2 linked regions of the Caenorhabditis elegans genome follow. The protein of the gene in region 2 interacts with the protein of the main gene of each other region in a pairwise test. Each region holds a gene or a part of one and is shown on either strand. Other genes may lie near its edges.

Region 1 (6,657 bases), on a different chromosome or scaffold from region 2:
TATTCAGAACAGACATTAGGAATATTATTTTTAACAACCTATTAGTTGTTCTCTTGAAGGTTGGCTACTGCCAGTGGGGAATGTGTAAAATAATTCCTATGCTGTGACCAAATGACTAAATGTCATAATAAAATTGTCAAAAAATTTGGAAATTATGGAATTTTTCTTCGATTTTTTGACTTAATTATGTTTAAAATACTTATATTCCAACATTGTGGAGATTCAAACATGCGACAGTGATTTAGATTTTTCAAATTTGACTCGAAATAAAAAATTCCAAAATTTTTTGAAAATCTTTATAACGAGATTCGGTAATTTCAACAGCATATGAATAGTTTTTAATAATTTCCCCATTAGTCGTAGTCCACTTTTAACTTTAATTAATAATTAAAACCATTAAGGTTTAAAACCGAATTTCAAAAAAAAATTTCGATATAGAAGACTAAGAATAAAATATAACTTTAAAGAAAGAAGTTATGAAAGTTTTTGTGAGTAAAATGAGTACCAATGTGTATTTTGGGAGGCACGGGGTTGGTGATGAACATTATGTGTTGTATTACGCATGCCATAGACCAGTTTTGCGCGGATTGCATGATCAAGTCGATTGACTTTTCGTCTTTTTCGATTAAATTGATAACCGATCCAGAATAATACTTATATAATTTCATTGAATTACAAAATTCAAATGAGTTAGTAAAAAACTAGAACATTCAGTAAAATTTCAAAGCTATTTGCAAACCACAAACTTGAAATTTGAAAAAAATCAAACATGGAAACTCTAGACAGTGTACACAGGACAAATTACACTGATTAATCTATATCAACTCGCCAAGTTTACAAAATTTCGTCGAAAAACTGATAAGCACATGCAAAAATTCGTGTGAATTGGCTCTAGATAGAAAAATATGAATTGGCTCTAGATAGAAAAAATAACTAAATCGATAATGTTTCGTGTCGTTTTCGATGTATTTTTATGGCTCGCTATCGGCAGCAGCTACCGCTTGTGGCTGTTGTTGGGCCCCTTTTTGACGAATTAGGTGAAGAGAATCGAACGGAAATGAAAATTTATATGAACACAGAGTGGAAGAGTGGTGAGAGAGAGAGAAAAGAACGAAAAGCAGGTGGAATCAACAATGAAAGTGCAAACAATTGTGCTTATAAACAATTTGGATTTGGATTTTTTTTCAACAATTTTTAAAAATTCTATTACGATGAGAAGTAAGAAATATGAATGGAATAAATAGAAGTCTGAACAAATTTTTTTGAAAACGAAAAATTGAACATTTTGTTACGAAGCGTTTTCAGGTTCTAAAGTATTATTTTTTAGGAAAAAACATTAAAAACGTCCCAGTAATCTACTTTTAATAATTTTGAACTAATTATTGAGTAACATTTAGTTTTAAAAGTTTAGAAAAAGCATGGACACTGAAAATTAAAAAAAAACATGTTTAAACAGAGAAAAAAATTTGAAAGATTAAAGGAGCGCGCGATTTGTAGCATGAGGGTCTGCCACGAATTCTACAGTTGTTCAGATCATTTTTTTTGAATTATTCCACAATCTTTCTTCTCTTTGGAATTTAATTTTTCTCGAAAGTTATTTAATTTTTCTATAAAAATGTGCATTGCAGTTTTAAAATGTTTTTTTTTTCAATTAAACGCATGAATGTGATTGGTACACGCGTGAGACGCAAGTTCTCGAAAATCTGCGATTGCGAAAGGCAAAAGTATTCATTTTTTCGAAAAAATAAACAAATTGCTCAAACTAAATTGAATATCGATCGTCTTTGCCCTCAATATTTTAAATATCACGCTTTTGAAAATTATTTCGAAATAAATATTCAGTTTCAGTGAGACTCATTCAATTGAACCTGATCACGTGCTGAAAGTCTGCTGTAACAATGAAGGTTTGTTCGTTTTCCTATCTCTACTTTAATTAAAAATAGTGTTAAGAGTAATTGTTCATTCAAATAGATTTTTTTTCATTCAGTAAAAAATGATTAAGTTTTCGGAAAGGAAGAAAACAAAACAAAAACATAGAAAAAAGTGTGCACGAACGAACACACAAAGCATATGCGTCAGTGTCTTAACCCGTCTAATGTCTCTTCATCCCCCTACACTCTCTCTTTCAGTTCACCCGACTAACACATTCAACAAGCAAACCCGTTATTGATTCAATTTTCTTTCGTAATATTCCTTTTTTATATTTTCAGAAACAAAAGTCATTTCCAATGTCTGCTTATGAGGATTTGCTCGGAAAAATCACTGCTCCAACTATCACTGTTGAGAATTGGGAGGGAATTCTCGCATTTTGTGATATGGTTCGTTCAATTTGTTTTAAAAAATGTATAAACCTTTTCACTGATTTATAGATAGAATTCTTTGTCGTTTGATAAAAAATCATATTTTAAAATTAAAATTTCCTCCTTAAATTTGCTAGCTGATTTTCACCGAAAATCATTGATTTTGGACTAAACTTAATGTTTTAGTTTAAAATTTTCAGATTAATAACGACTTCGAGGGATCGAAAACAGGAATCAAATCACTTCGTAAACGTCTCAACAATCGTGATCCTCATGTTGTCCTTCTAGCGATTTCTGTACTTGATTCGTGTTGGGCAAACTGTGAAGAAAGATTCAGAAAGGAAGTATCGTCTGCACAATTTATCAATGAACTCAAAGCTCTTTGTACATCGGTGAGTTTTTGTTTAAATCTGAAATTGTTAAACAAAATATCAAAATTTCTTTCATGAAGTTTTGTATTTCTTTAATAGATATAGTATACGCAGAAAAGAGATAAAAAAGAGAAATAGAGTTAGAAAAATAAGTATAATACGAAAATACGATACATTTCACCGCGTTTACAAAAAAAAATACAAAAATTTACAATTATTATAGAGTCAACGCCAAGTTGCTGAAAAAATGCGATTAACTGTTCAAAAATGGGTGGATACAGAATGCAAAACTGAACAATCACTGTCACTTATCGTCACTCTTCACAAAAATCTTGTTGCTGATGGCTACTCATTTGTTGTGGATGATCCAAAAAGTAAAACGAAAGCGATTGATGCAAAGTTTGCAAATGATCCGAATTATGTGAGTTGTGGAAGTTCGCGGCAATAAATATCAAAAATTAATAATTATTATAGGTTGGATCTGCTCAGGAAGAAGAAGCAATCGCAAAAGCCATTGCTGCTTCATTGGCGGATGCAGAGAAACAGGAAAAAGCAAAAAAATCAACATCCACAATGTATCCATCAGCAAAAGCAAGTAGTCCAGCAGTTCAGACTAATTCGAATATTCCGGAAAAGAATGTTCGAGCGTTATACGATTTTGAGGCTGCTGAAAGCAATGAATTATCTTTTGTTGCTGGAGATATTATTACAATTACTGATGAAAGGTAAGCAACAAAAATGTGTTCTAGTTTAAATTGAAAGCAATCGCTTAAAAATCAAATCAGGAAGTTCTTCAGTTTTTTTTTTTGTAATTTAAAATTAATCATACCGAACCTTTTCGTTACTGACTGCTTCTATCAATTATCAAAAAAAAAACAATTTTTTGCAGCAATCCCCACTGGTGGACTGGTCGTATTGGTACCCAACAGGGACTTTTCCCATCCAGCTTCGTTACTAATCAACTCGATGATCTAAAATCAAAAGAGACGGATTCATCACAGAAAGCCCCAGAAGTTGTAGCCTCAATTAATGAAGCAATCCTTGTTCGTTGTCTTCAAGTACTCCATGAATGTGATCCTACCGGTGAACGACAGGATCCAGAGGATTTGGCCCAACTAGAAGCCGCCTCGTATGCTCAAGGAAATCTCATTGATGCACATTTGGCTAGTATTGATCGACAGAGCAACTCTCTAGCACAAATCGATGTGGCTATTCGTGATGTGCTCGCACTTTATGATGATGCGATTCAGAAGGGAGGATTTCAGCATCAAAGTCAAGGAATGTACCAACAACCAATGCAACAGTACAACTATCAGCAACCAGTCAGTTTTTATTCAGAAAAAAATATTTAGAAAACTGAAATTTTTCATTCTAAGCTTCACGGTAATGCCTATCAATTCAAAAAATCGTATTTTTCAGCCAAACCGAGCATATTACCCACCTACCGGTCCTGTCCAACAACAGCAGCCACAACAATATCCTCCACAACACTATCCGGCTCCTGGAGCACAACCACAGTACGCATGCCCACCGAATTCTGTTCCCCAACCTCAACAACAGCAACAACAATGGCCTGCTCCGTCTTCACAGCCTCAACAATATTAACTTTTTGATTTGTTGTGAATATCACCTTTTCCTCCTTGAATCTGTAACTAGTTCCATTGATATTGTGATCACTTCTAACTTATTTTTCTCGATTCGCCACCCGTTTCTGTATAGTCTTTTGCTTCCTCGAGTTCTCGATAAGATAAAAATGAATTCTTTATTGAGTTTGAGGCAAATATTTATTATACACGAAAATAATCGGATAAATTGAGAAAAGGTAACAAAAATTACAAGAGGTCCGGATCAAAAGATGGCATTGAAATTGATGCATTGGCTGCTCGAATGGATCGTTTACCCCATCCACCGCCTCCCCATCCACCTCCACCCCATCCACCTCTTCCACCACCCCATCTTGATCCTCCCCATGGATCATTGTTTCCCCATCCACCACCTCCATTTCCACCCCATCCTCCATTATCTCCGAAATCGTCACGTCCCCAACCTCCACGTGGTGGTTGACGAGATGGATTAGTCTGACGAACTTGTGCAACTGGAGCAACTGATCCAGCTGTAGTTCCACACATTCTACGAAGCTCTGATTGAGTATAGCAACTGTTACAGCTTGATCTACAATTCTCAGCCATCCATGGATTTTTCTGACATTCACCGACACGAGCCCATCCGGCACATGATCTATGGTAGTCGACGCATGCTGAAATATATATTTTTTAATTATAAAAATATTTTTTTAAAAATAAAGCTTACATCCATAATTGTAATCTTCAGGATAGCAATGTCCACATGAAACTCGACAATTACATGCCATATATCTTGTATTTTTTCGGCATTCTCCCATTAATCCCCATACAGCACAGCAAACATTCTCATTGAAACAACCATCAGAATTATCACACTGTTGAGCTGGAGCAGGTGTCGTCGTGGTTACTGTAGTACCACCTCCTCCACACTCTTGAGCACGTGATCTACCACATTTATTACAACTTTTACGGCAATTTTCAGTCATCCAGAGTTGATTTTTGGTGCATTCACCGGAGCGGGACCAGCTACTGCATTGGGTATGACGATCAGTGCAATCTGGAAAATTATCGTAATTTTGCAGTTTTTCGATACACGAACTTAGAGGTGCATGGGTTTATTTGGTTTTTATGGGGCTTGGAGGAACTTTTATTATTTTTGGTCAGTTTTTATTTGTTTCATTTATGTGAGAGTTTATATTTTTCAATTTTATCTTTCTAAACATGAACGGCGCCGGAAAAATCTAATAAAGATACCATAAACTTTTTCCCGGTGGGACCCTTTCAAATAACCCCATGTACCTTTAATTTTCTGAAATTGCCAAATTACAATAGCAAACTTTTTAAAAAGAATTTTACCGAAAAAACCCTTGTGGTAATTTAAATATTTTTTAATTAAAAAATCCTAAAATACAAAATACACTCACCATCAGCCAGTCGATATTTGGGTTTACAAACACCACAACTGGCCTTACACCATTCATTCATATAAGCCGTATTCCTCGAACATTCCCCAGATGCTGCCCATGATGCACAACACTGATTCTCATTGAAACATGATTCTTGAGATTGTACTGGATTTTGAGGTGTTGGAGTTGTTGGAGCAGGTGTTGGACGTGGAGCTGTTGATGAGAGAACACATACACCGTTTTGGCAGATTCCTGAGAAACATGGATTCACACGGAATTGACCACATTGAGATCCTGGACGAATACGAGATACACAACGGGCGGCCCCGGTGGAAGTGTCACAGAAAAGGAATCTGAAATTTACAAATTCCAGTAAGTCTTCCACGGTAGACATCAAGAATATTCCAAATTTTTAGTGTGTGAAAATGTATCATCAAAAATGATCTTATATCTTGTACGACAATCTTTCAAGTTTCACATGAATTTTTTATCTTGAAAGTTTTTGATTCTAAAAAAATTAAACCCTGCCAAAAAATAGCATAGCTGTAATTTTTCAAATATTTGCGTAACATTTCCTAGGTTATTCTGATAATTTTCAAAAAAGTCTCACTTAGAACCGCAATCGCCTCCAGCTTGACATGTTGGCCGTGGTGCATAACTATACAAGTTATCTGTATATTTATTGGATAAACCATCGATATTTCTGAAAATAATTACATTTCCCTGTAATCAATTCACAGTTTCTTTACCTCATTGGACTGAACGGCTGCATTGGAGATGCTCCAAAATGTTGTGCAGAAGCACATAATTGATTATCAGGAGGGAATGCAATTTCCCGATCAGCTCTTGATTGTCTTGCCAATCTCCATTCTTCCCATACAAAATCAATAAATGCATGATGAAGGAAAAATGAAGGATCATTTGAAGAAGTTGCAGTGTCGAACATATCTCCTCCAACAAAAATGTGAACATTTCCATGAGTATATTCAAGACAATT
Region 2 (9,541 bases):
ATTTTAGTTCAATATTTTAACTATGTTTAAAAATTCATATACCGTCACTTTAGGGGTTCCAACATGCGAAAGTTATACAAAAATGCACCTTTCAAATCTCCAAACGAGTTGTCAGTTCCAGATCTTCCAGTTTCAGATCTTCCCGTCTCATTTCTCTGAGAATCATTCCTTCTTCGCCGATTAGCATTGTTCCATACGATGTCTCGAAGTGTTCCCGATCTCATCATCGGTGGTCCATTTCTCCCGCAATCCATTGCAACAATTGCAGCAAATATCAACGCAAGAATTACAACGATTACAGCCAGGACTAGAAGCTGTGTCTCGCCACGTGTCCACACATCTGGAATGAGCAAAGCTTACTAGTTAGGCTGAGCGGAAATTTCCAAAAATTTCAAAATCGGCAATTGTAGAATATGTAATCGGAAAAAATTCCAATTACTTCAAAAATTGGGTTTTGCTAATTTTTTAAGTTCTTGATCTAAAATTTGTTTGAACGCGATATATTTCAAATCGCCGAAAAACTTTAATTGACGCCCACACCTGCTACATAATTAAAGACATGCAAACTACTGATATTTCTAGAACATACCGAATCCATCTCCAATATTATCTAAATTAAATGGATTCTCAGCTGCCATGAGCCCTGGTGTCGTTGTAGCCATATCCTCCATATCCTGATATTTGGCGTAAAATGTTGCGTAGAGCATGCTACGTTTCGATCGAAAACCGATTACCTCTTCAACCATCTGAAATTGATAGTACTACGTAAGAGGGGAGTGGTGCGAGTACTACGTTGTTTTTGTCGTTTTGACATGTTTTGACAGAGAGTAGGTAAAAAGAGAAAAAGATGGAGGGACAGAAAAAAAAAAAGTGAATTTTGGTGACGGTGATAATACTGATTTTTCTTCATTTTTCTCTTCCCCATCTATCTGTCCCGTTTCTGTTTTTGTTCGTTTCGGTTTGATCGATTATTCGATTTTATTCCTTTGCCCGTTATTTTTATGCGATGGGGAGGGAATCGAGAGGCGCTTCTTTTCTTTTTTGTTGTTAGTCAACAATATGGAAATTGCGGGAGAGTTTTTGAATTCTTGAAAAACGGGAAAATGGGTCTTGCCACGCTGACCATGAGTTATAGTAACTTGTAACAATTTATGACCATAAATTGCATCAAAAGTTTCAAATTACGATACATAAACGAAAATTTGTTGCTACAATTTTTTTGAGGGGATTTCAAAAATAATTTAGCTTTAAACTTTATATAAACTTACCATAAAATGACACAAATTACAGTAATTTGTTGGAAGCGTGGTGAGACCCAAACGCGTGAAATATGGCAAAAAATCCAATTTTAGAGTCCACGTAATATTGTAAAATATTTATCGAAAAAAAAGGGTCGTGAAACCGAATTGAACTGTTGAAAAACATTTGAAAATTATTCTAATTTTTTTTATGATACTTTGAAAAAATATTTTGCAAAAAGGCTTATTTTTTAACCATTTTTCCGCAAATTTAATTGATTTTTTACAGTTTCTACAAAACAAGCAAATCTATTTGAATTTGCCGAAAAACTCTAAAAAAGTTAACCTGGGCTAATCAGTCATTCAAAATTTTTTGTGCAAAATTTTAAAAAATCACAAAAAATTTTGAAAAATTTAATTTTTCAATCATTTAAAATGGGTCGTGAAACTGATTTGAACTGTTAAGAAACATTTTAAAAACATTATAAATTTTTTTCAGATTTTTAATACAATATTTTGTAAAAGAAACCAACTTTTTGCCCGTTTTTCGGGAAATTTAACTGATTTTTTTAATAGTGTCCGTTTGTGAAGGTAACAAACCAAGAAAATTAATTTTAATTTGCCCCGAAAACTCCAAAAAAAGTTTACCTGGGTTAATCCGAAATTCGAAATTTTCTTTGCAAAATTTGAAAAATCCAAAATTTTGAAAATTTTTAAATCTATTTTCCATTATTTTATGCAAAACTGAAAGTTGTGCATTCCGATAATCTCATCACGATTCAAAACAATATCGCATTATTTTCAAAATTTAGGATCTAGATATTTGTTGCTAGATACCATAACTTTAATTCTATCTCGTGCTACTTTGTAATATCACACTACTACATATATTACCAATTGATCAAAACATTTATGAAAACAAAATAAATGTTTAGTTGTATTGTTCACATGAACACTGTTATTGAATTTTCAATTGTCGACCTGCACGTTGGACACTCTCGAAAATCGCTTGCATCGTAGCAGCCGGAACATGTGATCAGATGACGACACGGCATGAAAACAATTGATGGTTTTGTTGCCAAACATATGCAACACTCGGCTACCAGCTTCTCCTGAAGACGTTGAAAATCGCGATTACGTGATCGAAGTTGCTCTTCGACTTCCTCGACACGACGTTCCATTGAGAGTTTTGATTCGTGAACATTGGTCTCTAGTTGTGGGAAACTCTCAAACTGAAATAAAAATCTATGAGAAAAGGAATCGAAATAGTTGAAAATATTATTACATAGGGCTTGCAATGACAAAATAATGTTTGGAAAACATTTCAGATCAAGGATAAAGTGCGGAAACTTTTTTTTGGCAGTTTTAAGCGATTGTGTCAAAAAATAAAACACAATTTGATAAATATTAAAATATTATTTACTTTACTTTAAAAATGCGAAAAAATTCTCCGAAAATGTACGAAAGTTTGACGAATTACTGTTTTTTTTTCCCGGAAATTGACGACTTCTACGTCTGTGGGTTTTCGCCCCAAAATTTTTTATGATTTTTTTTTCAAGTTTGTTCAAAAATTTGGCTGAGTTATTTTCGAATTTAATGCCAAAATTAATAACCTAGCTTCAACATTTCCGCGTTTTTTTTTTCGGATAACCTTATTGGGATTATTGATTTTGAACATGATTTGTAAATTTTTCAGACATTTTTCCATTGAAAACTTAATAATCCAAAAATATTCACTGAAGCTCTAAAATTAGCTCAACATGCGGAAAAATATCAGAAAATTTTAAAATTGTTGTGTTTCAAAAAAAAATTTAAAACAAAAAAATTAAAATAACCGAAAAAAAATTAAAACTACATGGCCATTCATTTGAATTTTTTTTTTGCAAAATTGAAAATATTTTTCAAAAAAAGGAATATTCTATGAATTAATGACAGTTGCATTCGATGTATTGAAACAGTTGTGTGCCATTTATGGGGTTATTCAAGTAATGTAGCAGAATGTATTTAAATACATTTCTGACGTCACATATGTATTTAAATACATATTTTTATGTACTTGAATACAGTTGTGACGTAATTTTTCTACACTTTTAAATTTTCCGACAATACTTGAATAACCCCATTAGATGTAAATAAACCCACAGACGCTACTCTTTTGAATTGATCTACATTTGTTTTTTTAGTATTAGCGCTTAAAATATGAGTAATAAAATCAAATTTTTACATTTTTACGTTGAACAATGCCAATAAGTTTTGAAAACGTTGATAAAAATGTGATAATTAACCCGTACAGAATATAGCAAGTTTCAACTAACCAATTCTTTGTAGAGCATTTTGACAGCATTGATGTTTGGCAAAAATTCAGTTGAAAGGTCGACAAGTTGACTGTGTTTCTTTGTTAATTCATCGAGCAGCACCAATGGCTTCTGGAATAATTAAAATATTCCTTAATATAACTGTTAAATAACCAACCAATTGATAACTTTTCTCCTCCATTCGTTTTGTAACATTAGTCTGTTCATCCAACAGGTTACTCTTCCGTTCCAGCTCCATCTCGACGTCGGTCTTCTGCTTTTGAAGGTTCAAAATCTCCTCGTCTTTTCGTGCTTTCTCTTCAGAATAAATTTTTTTACGATGCTCAGACAGCTCTTTTTGGTCGTGAATTTCTTGTTGTTGGCGGTAGTTTTGGATTGTCTAGAGAGCTAATGTTATAGTTAAAGGTTAAAAAATGTCAATTTCCAAGTAACCAACCAGTTTATCAAGTGCATCAGCTGTCTCTACTCTCTCTTCCATCAGCCTATTCATCTCATCTTTACAATCTTTCAAATCTTGCTCCGAATCTTCCAGAAGCCGCTTCAATTCTTGAACTTCTGACAAACACTGTTCTTTTTCATTTTCTAAATGGTTTATTCTATTCTGAAAAGACTCAAACTAGTTATGAGAGAGAAAGTTCATAAACAAGGTCACTACCTTAAGAATAGTGAATTGACTATCGACCTCCTTTCGATCACGTTCTTTTTCTCTTTCCAGTGTGGCGAGAAGGCGAACAATGTCGTGGGAGTCGCGGGTACTTCTGGAGGTTAAGAGGATTAGGTCAGGAACATTTATTGTGTTAGTTTTACTTTCAAGATGCAGTTTTTGTATATCACAATATTTTGCAGACACTTCTGAACTTGAAAAATAGTAAAAAAAAAGGTTTTTTGAAAAATTGCGACAAATTTTATCATTTTAATGTCAACTAAAGTGCACACTTACATTCAGGTTTTTTAGGACTTTACCTCGAAATTGACTTTTGCAGGGGCTGACACAAAATATATTGTAAAAGCAGTTTTGCGATTTTCGTACAAAAATATGGTACCCGGTCTCGGCACGACAAGTTTGTGTCTAATTTCAGAAAGTGCGCTCCTTTAAAGATTACTGTACATTCAAATTTTTGTTGGTGCGGAATTTTCATTGATTTACGATAAGCACGTGGAGTCAGAAAGCCCCATTCCGCTTTGATCTACGAAAAATGCGGGAGGTGAGACGAAGATATCTCAACTGATTTCGCATGATTAAGAGTGCTGACGTCACAATTTTCTGGGAAAAATTTCCCGCATTTTTTGTAGATCAAACCGCAATGAGACATCCTGACATCACGTAGATAAAAATATATCTAAATGTATTATTTTCTAAACTCAAATATAACTATAATGTGAATTTTAACAAATTTTGAAAAAATTTGATACTACTGTAATCTTTAAAGGCGCACACCTTTTCGCATTTGGAAAAATAATGTCGTGTCGAGACCTGAGACCGTATTTTCGGCGCAAAAGTCGCAAATTATTGCGTATCGGTAATATACTTGCCTTGGAGTTGACAAATGAAACGATGAAGATCTCCCAACCGAAAGATTTCGATGAGACTTGGAACTATGCGGGTGTAAACTTGTCACAGAGCTTGACATCAAATCTCTGAAAACCAAAATTTTCAAAAAATGGAAAGTCTGCTCAATTTACTAGGTAGGCGGCAAAACACCTGCCTGCCTGCCTGCCTGGCCTTTACCTGCTTACCCTGGACTATTATGTTTCCTGCTCGACCGGGAGTCTCCTTTCCCTGTCACTTTATTCAGAATGTCCAGCATAACATCAAAGTTCTCGAATCGCTCGAATTCTTTCGAACCTTCTTTCGAGTTGGCTTTCAGAGCGGAGATGATCTCTTCTTGGTTGTAACCCCACTCGGATGCCAACTTTATTTGATCCTACACGAAATTAAACATTTGGAATAATTGAAAAAAAAAACTGAAGTTTCGTTTTATTTAAGTTACTATATCAATTTAATTATTTATCTACAAATTTCAAACATTAATTCAAACATTTCTAGACAAGCAGAGAGATTTTTCGACAAAAATACGGTAGCTGGTCCCGACATGACTATTTTTTGTTAAATGCGAAAAAGATGTGCGCCTTTAAAGACTACTGTAATTTCAAACTTCGAAATTTTCATTGATTTTTAAAAGTTTTTCTCATGGATTTGTGTATTGTTACAGCGACGAAATTTTGAAACTACAGTGCTTTTTAAAGGCGCACGCCGTTCTGAACTTTAAAAACAATTATTCGTGTCGAGACCGAGTACCGTACTTTTGACTCGAAAATCCAACTGAAAAAAGCGCCAAACTTACATGGATGGAAAGATCAGTCATAGTCGATGAAATTGATAATCCTAGGGAATTATTACCTCAAAATAGTTTTTCAAACTTTTTTTATTGACTCAAGAATTGCATATGCAAAAAAAAGGCTAATCAAACAAAAGGTGAATCGTGAAAAAGTACAAAAAAAAATGAGGAAACAGATGTTATCATATAGGCGTGAAGTTGCACATTGTGCAAACAAACAATAAAAACTTGGAATGGAAGCAGAATGGCAGAAGAGGTGGAAAAACGACGAGTGCTGAAAATTTATGCATTTGAAGTTTTCCGCGATTGCCACCAATCCGATTATTGTTTAGTACGTCAAGTTTTTCGGGTATCAATGCGGTGGGTTGTTGAGTTTGAATTCTGAAAAAAAAATGGAACGACGAAGGAGAACAGCCATAAAGTCTGGAAAAAAGGAATCGGATACAGATTACAGTTTTTGTAGGAACTCACAATCAGTTGTTCTTTTTTTTTAAATTTATTTTTTAAACTTTTAAATAGTTTTCCGTCCACTTAAATCCCTTGAATACGGACAAACAAAGAAAAACAGCTAACTTTCAGACTTGGAATTTTTCTACAGTAAACTTGAAACGCGCTGCGAGACCCAACCCTTCAAAGGCGCACGGATTTTCATACGATGGTCCGTCACGAAATGTGTTAGCTTGAGAAATTTGTTTTCGAAAATTTCTCGTTTTTAATTTTTGACCAAATAAATTCGAACTTTGCGCGTTTTTTTTTGCTTTTATTTTTTATTTTGAAACAATTTCAGGAATTTTTGATTTAAAAATAGTTTCGATTTCAGTTTTAAATTTCATTTATTCGAGTAAAAAAAGACTGGAAAATATTTTTTCAAAGTCAATTTAGAAATTTTATTTTTTGTAAATCCTGCAGCTCGAGTATTGCACGGAAATAATTGTGGCTATTCGTATTTTTTCAGGTTTTCCGTTTTAAACATTGTGAAAATATTTATATTTATGTTTTTAGATTATTTAATTCCACCGAACGTGGATCCACAGAGACCCGAAGAACTCGGGGGATGTCCAATTGGGGGGATTACCAACTCGGGGGATTGGCCCCGCCCACAGAACCGTGGCTTGCAATACGCCCATTTCTGCAACTGCCGCACGGTTATAAAATTATTTTTTCTTGTTATTTCTCGCTCTATTGAGAAAAATACAGGTTTAAAACCGTGCGGCAGTTGCAGAAATGGGCGTATTGCAAGCCACGGTTCTGTGGGCGGGGCCAATCCCCCGAGTTGGTAATCCCCCACGGCCTCCACCACGTGAAATGCGCAGAGAGAGCGCAGAGAAAAAGGCGGTCTCTGCGTCTCTCACCTCCACAGCATGGCGAGAGTGCGCGCTCAACCACCTCACTTAGAAGGAGTCGGGAAGAAAGGAAATTGCATATTTCTGAAAAGAAACAATTGGAACGGATAAAGAGTACTGTCCTCTACAGTCTGGCATAAATTTCACAGAATAGTTTTGTCATTGAAATAAGTGAAGAGAGTGAACATAATATTACACATTCCCCTCTAAAACGAGCAAGTTTAAGATTTTTTCCCAAATTTTTTTTGTAAAATGTATTCAATATATTCCCAATTAATGAGTTAATACAAAAAAACCCCAATAAATAAGTTATGAGAGAAACTTTTTGTGACATCAAACATTACAGCTCAAAATTTCAGCACTTTCCGGAAGCTAGTGACCGTAAAATGAAAGATTTCAAAAATCGGAAACAATACGATTGTTCTAATTTTTAATACGCACATTTTAACATATCACACATAAAAATCCGTCAATGTTGAAAGATGTTATTTGATCTAGAAGGTTGACTACAGTACTAAAATGACCAAATTTTCAGATTTTTCGCAATTTTCAGGAAATAGTTGGCTTGGAGTCAAAAATCGGAAACAATACGATTGTTCTAATTTTTAATACGCACATTTTAACATATCACACATAAAAATCCGTCAATGTTGAAAGATGTTATTTGATCTAGAAGGTTGACTACAGTACTAAAATGACCAAATTTTCAGATTTTTCGCAATTTTCAGGAAATAGTTGGCTTGGAGTCAAAAATCGGAAACAATACGATTGTTCTAATTTTTAATACGCACATTTTGACATATCACACATAAAAATCCGTCAATGTTGAAAGATGTTATTTGATCTAGAAGGTTGGGTGCTTTGGTACAGTACCCACTCTACTGCGCCCTCACACTTTGGATGCTCCTATCTCCGCTCCTATGAAAGTTACAAAAAAGTTGTCAACTAACAAAATGTTCAGTTTGACATTGTGAACATTTTTTCTGTTGACAATATTTTTCTAACTAGTAAGACAAATTTTTTACAGGCCCCGAAAGCCGTATTTATGAGAAAATCAGAGATCAGTTCATAACTCAAAAAATAAAGACATTAGAAGAAAGTAGTCAACTACAAATTTGTTAGATATCTTATATAGAGTATGTTTCCGATAGAAAACTCAATTTTAATGTTCAGGATTTTTTGACATGGCCAGTTTAAGATGATCAATTTTCAAAAGTCAAAATCTCTATTATTTTTGTAGATAGAAATGTAGTTCTTGCTGGTAAATGTTGTTTTTTATCTGCTTAACATTTTCTCAGTTGAACATATTTTTGTATCTTCAACGAGAACAGAGATTTGATGGTTTTAAGAGAGGGTACCGTATCTGGGACTTCAATCATCAAATCATAGCTGTATCTTTTTAGTGGAACGAGATATCAAAAAATTGTCAACTGTGGAAATGCTCGCCTATTTGTGATGTTTATTTTGTCAGTTCATCGCTAGTTTCTATCTCCAACGCGAAAAAAGTTGTAGTTGTTCAAAGTCCATACGATACATCCACTTGCCACGTGAAGAGCGAGAATCAGCCCGAAGCCACAGTCGTACATATTTTCTTTATTTAAACCGTTCAAATACACTCATCGTATTATATTTAACAATTTTCAATCTAAAAAAGTGCTCTTCTGTCCAGAATTCTTCTAATTCCAACTAATTCTTGCTAAAAATCACTGAAAAACAGATCGTATTAACTATTTATTGTAAGTTCCGACTTTCCATTTTATCAACTTCACTATTTCTGTGAAAAAAATTCGAAATTTCGTTCAAAAATAGCGATTCTAGCTCAATTTCATGAATATCTGTTGAAAGCGGCGGCGAGGCAAGGTGGTCGTCCGCAAACGCGCAAACAAAAAGCGAGAGAGTGTGCGCATTTCTCGTGCGGGAGGCCGTGATCCCCCCAATTGGACATCCCCCGAGTTCTTCGGGTCTCGATCCACAAGCTCAAACAAAAATTACTTCCGCAATTTCGCGTCAATTGTGATGCTTGCGTACCTTTTCTCCATTTCGAAACTGCCGCCGCAAACGTTTCCTCTCTCTCGCCGTTTTCCCATTCTATTTTCATTTTCAACCGCTATAGTTCATTCAGATTCGAGAGCGTCGAGACAACAAAATATCCTGTTTGAATTGGCGCTCGTCGACAACCTGCACATCACTGTTGGTCGCTGACGTCACCCCTCCCGCTGCGGCGTATATATACTCAGTCGATCGTCGCTGCTTGCTGCCAGATTGGTGAGTCGAATTTTCGCTCTCTTCGAGTGTGTCTTTCTGTG

Evidence for each region. Proteins that work in one complex are often made in the same cells at the same time.
Region 1: the proteins of exc-14 (region 2) and stam-1 interact in a two-hybrid assay, tested with the Caenorhabditis elegans proteins (one large-scale study listed by BioGRID).

What each region holds. Positions count from the first base shown.
Region 1 is NC_003279.8:5,899,881-5,906,537, reverse strand, and holds stam-1 (Signal transducing adapter molecule 1), read left to right. Parts: upstream 1-1,842; 5' UTR 1,843-1,898; coding exon 1,899-1,904; intron 1,905-2,210; coding exon 2,211-2,318; intron 2,319-2,500; coding exon 2,501-2,692; intron 2,693-2,894; coding exon 2,895-3,092; intron 3,093-3,145; coding exon 3,146-3,396; intron 3,397-3,560; coding exon 3,561-3,993; coding exon of another isoform or gene 3,994-4,023; intron 4,024-4,090; coding exon 4,091-4,276; 3' UTR 4,277-4,433; downstream 4,434-6,657. Other genes in the region: tyr-4 (ShKT domain-containing protein), read right to left, coding at 4,504-4,928, 4,982-5,311, 5,679-6,013, 6,271-6,363, 6,410-6,657.
Region 2 is NC_003283.11:5,040,250-5,049,790, forward strand, and holds exc-14 (RING-type domain-containing protein), read right to left. Parts: upstream 5,955-9,541; 5' UTR 5,920-5,954; coding exon 5,899-5,919; intron 5,479-5,898; coding exon 5,291-5,478; intron 5,192-5,290; coding exon 5,087-5,191; intron 4,312-5,086; coding exon 4,209-4,311; intron 4,155-4,208; coding exon 3,990-4,154; intron 3,933-3,989; coding exon 3,711-3,932; intron 3,665-3,710; coding exon 3,554-3,664; intron 2,471-3,553; coding exon 2,183-2,470; 3' UTR 2,129-2,182; downstream 1-2,128. Other genes in the region: K11D12.8 (uncharacterized protein), read right to left, coding at 89-340, 590-746.